Linked DNA regions of Daphnia pulex. The protein of the gene in region 2 purifies or fractionates together with the protein of the main gene of each other region. This does not show direct contact. Links are inferred from orthologs where the notes say so. Each region holds a gene or a part of one and is shown on either strand. Other genes may lie near its edges.

Evidence for each region.
Region 1: the proteins of GPN-loop GTPase 3-like (region 2) and DNA-directed RNA polymerase III subunit RPC5-like purify together in Homo sapiens (affinity purification with mass spectrometry; 3 studies listed by BioGRID and IntAct, counting the BioPlex papers as one, with this or other methods). This does not show direct contact. The link is inferred for Daphnia pulex from reciprocal best matches to the Homo sapiens genes GPN3 and POLR3E.

What each region holds. Positions count from the first base shown.
Region 1 is NC_060017.1:5,953,571-5,957,692, reverse strand, and holds DNA-directed RNA polymerase III subunit RPC5-like, read left to right. Parts: upstream 1-1,224; 5' UTR 1,225-1,381; coding exon 1,382-1,423; intron 1,424-1,487; coding exon 1,488-1,589; intron 1,590-1,645; coding exon 1,646-1,800; intron 1,801-1,865; coding exon 1,866-2,053; intron 2,054-2,116; coding exon 2,117-2,289; intron 2,290-2,353; coding exon 2,354-2,558; intron 2,559-2,613; coding exon 2,614-2,840; intron 2,841-2,919; coding exon 2,920-3,080; intron 3,081-3,141; coding exon 3,142-3,322; 3' UTR 3,323-3,469; downstream 3,470-4,122. Other genes in the region: histone H2B-like, read right to left, coding at 86-322, 399-461, 520-609. UniProt on the Homo sapiens protein: DNA-dependent RNA polymerase catalyzes the transcription of DNA into RNA using the four ribonucleoside triphosphates as substrates.
Region 2 is NC_060025.1:7,099,870-7,103,078, reverse strand, and holds GPN-loop GTPase 3-like, read right to left. Parts: upstream 1,842-3,209; 5' UTR 1,733-1,841; coding exon 1,688-1,732; intron 1,619-1,687; coding exon 1,101-1,618; intron 1,046-1,100; coding exon 830-1,045; intron 764-829; coding exon 682-763; 3' UTR 605-681; downstream 1-604. Other genes in the region: GPN-loop GTPase 1-like, read left to right, coding at 1-58, 126-349, 422-513; AP2-associated protein kinase 1-like, read left to right, coding at 2,210-2,348, 2,414-2,778, 2,846-2,988, 3,058-3,209. UniProt on the Homo sapiens protein: Small GTPase required for proper localization of RNA polymerase II (RNAPII). May act at an RNAP assembly step prior to nuclear import.

The DNA.
Region 1 (4,122 bases), on a different chromosome or scaffold from region 2:
GATCGATGTAGATAATTATAGAAGATATAAAAAAATAGTCTAATAAAAAAAATTGAATTGTGGTCGACCCACTCGGAAGTCATTTTCACTTTGAACTGGTGTACTTGGTGACAGCCTTGGTGCCTTCCGAAACAGCGTGCTTGGCCAACTCGCCAGGTAGGAGGAGACGTACAGCTGTTTGGATTTCACGACTGGTAATGGTCGAACGCTTGTTGTAATGGGCTAGCCGCGAAGATTCTCCGGCAATCCGCTCGAAAATGTCGTTCACGAAGCTGTTCATAATAGTCATGGCCTTGGACGAAATTCCAGTGTCGGGATGTACCTGCAGAAAAGTTTCATCGATTGTAATTACACGATTATACACTATAAAATATCACGAAGAGAAACAAAACATTTACCTGCTTCAAGACTTTGTAGATGTAAATGGCGTAACTCTCCTTCCTCTTCTTGGTACGTTTGGTCTAAAGAAAACAAGATGTGAATCAAACTCGTTCAAAGTTTATAACACGAAATTCTTACCTTTTCACCAGACTTGTTGAGACCACCCTTTTGAGTCTTTCCTGCCTTTTTCGCTGCTTTTCCACTTGTTTTTGTAGGTGACATGGCCATTTTGATGATATTCTTAACTGGAACTCGACTGTGAGCTGATAGAATCTGGGAAATTCTGCTACAGAAAACCTAGACGACGTTGGTTTTTATACTCTTTCCCCCCATTTTTCGGACAAAGAAAACTCCCTATTTGCAGTCATAACTCCGGGGTACAAACCCATCCTCCTTCCACTTTTTTGTTTTCAGACGTTTTCTTACTCTTCCTCTAACCTCAAGTTAATGGATTTGTTTAATTCATTTAAAAGGGGATAATCTTTTTTCTCAGAAAGAGAAATAAACTATGAGCAAACTCTGTCTAGCCACGAGGTATTTTTTCGTTAGCCTTCCACGAATTCATATGCATTTTTTAAAGATTTTTTAAAGAAACTATTTTTTGTTAGGGCATATTCCGATTATTAAGTTTAATTGAAAAAAAATCATTTTAAACCTATTCAAAGCAAGGTCAAATGAGCTCCAATGAAATTGTTGTTTGCCATACTGAAAATAAGTTAGCCAGCCAAATAGGTTTTTAAAAATAAATATATGTTTATAAAATCTGAAGAAATGCATACAGCATTTATTAAATTTCGTGTCTATTAAATAATTTCGATGATTTATCAAATAGGATTTAATATGACCCATTTCCAGCAGACGACTGCCTCCCCATTTCACGATTTGAAGAATAATATTGTGCAGTGCTGTCTGCAGAGAATTTGCTTTCCCACGTTGTGGGAGTGATATCTATGATTTGTGATATCTAATTTATAATTTGGCGTCTAGAATCTGAAAAAAAATGTCAAAGTTAGAAGAGGAGAATGATGAAGTTGTCAGAGAGGTGGGAATTGGGTGTTGTTGCTGTATTCGGCGTGAATGTTCTCACATGTTTATGATTTTTACAGATCCCAGTCTTTTTGTCAAAGAATTTGCTTCAGAAACTCTATGTTTTCCAATATCCACTTCGTTCTGTTGCAGTTGAAATGGAAAGACCTCATGTTGCTGCTGTAAGTATTATATCTTGCATGCAACTCGATTTCAATATTAATGTGAAACATTTCAGTCAAGGATTAAGCCTAAACTTCAGGAAGTTGAATTAGAGCTTGAATTACCAACACATACACAAAATTATGATAGGAGCAAAGCTGAGCAAATTGTTATTAATACAGATGGACAAAATAAATATGATAAACCTGATCATCAGAACTTTTTCAGCGGGTAGGATTGGTTCGTAATATATTTACTTCAACAATATAATAAGTGTTTTCTTTCTTTCATGAAAGTTCATTTATGGATAAAATCACCTATTCTTCCACAAAAGCACTTTTGGATCCAGGAAGGTTTGCAGTTGGCATTGTAGTTGATAATGAACTTCATCTCAATCCATTGCATGGAATTCTACATGTAAAACCCAACTTTCCATACTTGGACAAATCTGAAAAAAATCTAAAAGATACTGATGAACCAACAGGTTAATTTCTTAATGCCAGAAGCATTGTTTCAAATTTATTAAAGTTCTTTGTGAATTTTATAGAGTCAGGTGATGAGGAAGAAGTTGCTGAACAAATCACTGTGAAATTTGCTCGAACTGAAACAGACAGAAGCAAAGCCCTCAGAGAAAAGTCTTTTGGGTTCCTCCAAAAAAAGAATGCAGAAGAACCCTGGTACAATACCAAATTCTATTCATTAAATTCTGAGGAATCCATGGTATTTATATCACAGTATTAAAGGTTATATAATCAATAGAATTATTGTTTGATCATTTGTATAGTTGGAAAAAAACCGTCTCATCTGTGGAAAATCGGATACAGTTCAAAATCTAACCATGGCAAAAGATAAATACATCAGCGATTTGATTGGCCCTAGCCTAGAGATTGATGAATTTCAGAAACAACTTACGTTAGGAAACGCGTCAATGTTTCAAATTCTTAAACTGCCTCAACTTGTAGATAGAATTAAAAATCTCATGGCTAATGGTAACTTAAATGTTGAAATAGTATTACCACATCGATAACCAATTTCTATCTATAGTTAAGCTGATCTCGTTCAGTAAGTTGTGCAGTACCCTAGAAATCAAACAGGAATCTGTTAAAATGGAATCGCTGAAATCGCTGCAACAGGTGGCTGAGTTGGTCCAAGGTAACTGGGTTGTCAAGAGCGAAATCCTTTATCCGAGCGGAGAGAAAGACAAAACGGTTAAATTGTGTGGAATTTCCGGAATTCATCCTGATATCATCAGCAAAGCCAGGGATTATGTGGTAAATAGCCTCCTGATGATTTGTTTTTTTCCTGGCGACTGTCATAAAGTTCTAACATTTATGTTTTGATTTGATATAGTTGTACATGTTTACTCTAAACCGTTGTGTGAACCGAGAAGCAGTCACTATTGCGACTAAAATTCCTACTGATGAAATGAAAGTTATTCTGGAGCAAATTTCCTTCAAGACCAAGGACGGATGGGAATTCAAATTGCCTTTTGATCAAGCCTTTGTTGACAAGTGCGTTTCAATTCCTTTCCAATGATTTTTGTGTTTTAATGACATTTTATTGCGAAAACAGGTATCCGGAAGTGGTTAGGCGCAGCGAATTGATGAATAAAGCTAAGCAGAAGCAACTTTACAACGTCGCCGAATTTAAAGCTCCGAAGAAGGAACCCACCGATACAATAAAGAAAAGAACAAGGCGACGCTCTCGACAAGATTCGTGCAGCTCAGACAGTGGAAATGACGTTAAGAAGTAATCGCAGTTGAACATGAAAAAGCGGATATTAAAAATCTTCTAGTACACTTTTTCTACCCTGCAACAGTCTCGCTGTTCATTTCATTGTTTTGACCTTGATTGTTCAGTTCGTGCTCTTGTCGAAAAATGAAATGGTTGACTGGCGAAAGTAACTGTATCTCTTTTCTACTTTTGATTTGTACGTAGAAATCTCAAACCGTACCAACAAAAATAACTGCAAGCCTCATCCACATTTTCACAAGCCCTCTGGAATATAAAATTTCGAAAGGATTTTTTATTAATATGAAAATATGTACACTTTTTAATCCTGGAACCTGGATCTACTGATCTACTCTAAGCTTTTTCATGCGACTGTTTTTTTTTTTCTTGTAAAATTGTTTGTGTTAATAATAAAATACGGAAACGATACATCCTCATATAAGTTTTTCTGGTTGTTTTTGCCACGAACTCAGTTTTGTGTTATCAATGATAGGTTAGGCAACCGTCTGCTAGAACTGATTTTAAGATTAGATCGTAGATTATAAACATCCTGGTTGCGTAAACCGATACAGCAAAAGAAAGGGGAGGAGCTTATTACAATCGTCTGAAGAGTTTGTTTACTGCTTTAAAATCAAGTTTTACACGTCAGTCATTTTTACACGTCAAACAGTCAAAGAATGTTGCAGCAAATATTTTAGATACTATATAAAAAACTATATGTGAGTGCTGAGAATTCAATTTCCTTAAATGCTATTGTGAGTTTGTTTCATTAAAGTTGTTATACTAAGAACATTTTCACGTGCGTACCTACGAGACAAGCAC
Region 2 (3,209 bases):
GAGAAGGATTTGAAGAATTTCTGGCCGCTGTCGATGCCGCCGTTGTTGAATACGAAACGTAAACGACTATTACTTAAATTTAATTTCGGCAGAACAACTTATTGAAATTACATTTTCTTTCATAGAGAATACTGCCCAGAACATGATCGCTTGCTAAAACTTCAAGCCGAAGCCCGTACGAAGGATAAAGACCGCCAAAAGAAAAAATTTCAACACGATTTTGACAACGATGTACAAGCCCAAAGTGTATCAAGTGCGACATCTGAAATATTGTTGCGCAATCGAGCCATCGGCGGAGAATCCAGTAGTGATGATGAAGAACACGAAGGGCGCCCTGGAGACGACGATGGTATACATAAATATTTTGTGATTGTGAATATAGTTAGCTTATTCCTAATAACCAATAATTAATTTTTGGCAGATGAAGAAGACCGAGTTGGTCAGAAATCATTCCACAACTTCTTGGAAGAACAGAAGAAGAAGCAACAGTCGAAATCGAATAAACCTTCGTAAATCCTAGCGCCATCTTCACTTAACACCACTAATGTTACGACAATAACATGATGTACATCAATGTCATCTGAAAATACAAAATATACAGAAATGCTGAAAAAATTGCGGTGTATTGTGTTTCAAGGAAAAAGAAATAATAAATTCGTAAGTAAGTGATATTTAATTGACTCATCCCCTTCCTTCTTCGTAACCGTCATCGTTGTCCTCGTCTTCCTCGTCAGGAGCATCAAATTCCGCCATTTTTATATCCCTGAACAGCAATTAATGAATGACTGATCTGTTTTGTAACCCTTTGCTACTATAACTAGAAAGGTACCTGTCTTCTCCAAACTGCATGCAGTTGTCCACCATGAACAGAATATTGGCGAGATTGTCTTCGTCCGTTATATTAAGCGGTGCGAATTTGATTAGAGAATAGTCTTCCAAAACTCGGCCAATCATTTCAGTAAGCATCTGATGTTTTTGATTCCATTTTGAATTGACCACAACCGTATCGTTCGCACATATGTCTTTCACGTCCGGCTCCAAAAATCTACACAAAATGCAGGCATTAGTTGAGGAAAACTGTTGAAATGATAAGTTCTCACCTTTCCAGTTGCTTTTTACTCTTCTTGCTTAACAAATCAATTTTACTCAAGATGCTGATGAATGTAACCTCCAAGGTTGTCATGGCACTTAGAGCAGCCATTGATGCTGATATAAATGATGAAGAGTTTATCATAAAGTGACTGTCTAAGATAAAGACAGCACACAATCTGAAATTCCATAACTCTAGTGCTTCCAGCAATTTCTTCATAACATTGAGATGTGTGTATAGCTCAATCTGTCCAGGGCAATCAAAAATGAAGTAGTCATCATCATCTTCTCCAAGTTGATTCTCTAGCCACGGCAAATTTTCCAGAAGAAACTCCATACAAAAAACAAGAGCTCCATTTGGTCCAAAATGCATTTCCTCATCTTCCATTGCATCGTCCACATGAATGAGGTCTCGAATATCGATGGACGGTTTATATTCGAAAGACTCGGCTGCTGGATCCAAATTTACAATGTGAATATTTCGTCGAGAAGTTTCAGCATGTCGTTGCATTTCAGTGCAGTAGGTGGACTAAAAACAAATTCATTTTGTTACATCTTTTTTTAAGGAAACATTGATTGGTTTTTCATCTAAACTTACTTTTCCAGAGCCTGCTGGGCCAATGACAATTTGTGCATATCTCATTTTATTTCTAACAGGAAATCTTTTATATTTCAGACACGTGAAACACTTCAATTCCAAAATGACTATTTTGATTTGGTTTCCTGCGTCGTCTGCAATAGACTGTTGCTAGGCAACAGAACCGATTGCACTGCCAAGTGCTCAAGCGAGAATTTTGTGAAGCTTCTGACAGGTTTTATAGGGGGTGGAAAAGAAGCAAAATCCCGTTCGGAAGACGAGAGAAATTTCGGAAGATAAGAAAATTATTTGGATTCGTGTTCCAATGATATTCATTTATTTCGCATGACGTCTTTTTCGTCGTGATTCTGCCACCCCAGTTTGACGTTCCTGTTAATCGTGATTCGGATTATCTCTTTGTCTTCAGCTGTAAGTTTTTCTGTCAATTTATGTCGCAATATCTCGGTTGCTTCTTTTCTATATTTGTAGATTTTCACTATATCGTATATTTTTCCCTAACACACAGGCTGTATATAGTTAATCATGAAGAAATTATTCTCTAAAATTGAGACAAAAATTGACCCTTCTCAGAAGGAGTCTAAAGGTGGTCAGAGCCTTGTTGGAAAAGTGTTTCAAGTGGGAAAACAGTACTCTGTCACAGTTGAAGACATTATTGCCGAAGGTTTGTAATTTTATTATCAAATAATATTGAATTGTTTCACTTTTAATCCATGAATTCTTTTCTAGGTGGTTTTGCAATTGTTTTCCTAGTTAAGGCATCTAATGGCAGTCGCTATGCTTTAAAACGTATGCATGTCAACAATGATCATGACTTGGCTGCCTGCCGAAGAGAAATTCAGATTGTTTCTACACTCAATGGGCACAAGAATATTATTGGATACATAGACTCCAGCATCACACAGTCAAGCAATGGGGTGTATGAGGTGCTTCTCCTTATGCCCTTTTACAAGATGCATGTCCTCCAGTTGATGAATGAAAGACTGCAGACAGGCTTCTCAGAGCCAGAAGTTATGGCTATCTTTTGTGACATGTGTGAAGCTGTTTCTCGGCTTCATCACTGCCAGACACCCATCATACATCGTGATCTAAAAGTATGTCTAGGATTTATTTTATTAATGCTGGACTAAGAATGTAAACTATTAAATCGGTGTTTCACAGGTGGAAAACATTTTATTCAATGACGCTGGCCATTACGTCCTTTGTGACTTTGGTTCAGCTACGGCCAAGGTGCTTAACCCATCCACAATGGGTGTGGCTGTTGTTGAGGAAGAGATTAAAAAATACACTACATTGTCCTATAGGTAATATAAAATTATACTGCTGTTGGAATAAGTAAAAAAAAAAAAAAACTTATATAATGCCATATGTAGGTCTCCCGAAATGGTCGATTTATACATGGGGAAATCCATCACAACCAAGGCAGATATTTGGGCCCTTGGTTGTCTCCTGTACAAGCTCTGCTTTTTCACGCTTCCTTTTGGTGAATCGACACTAGCCATCCAGAACGGGCAGTTTAATCTGC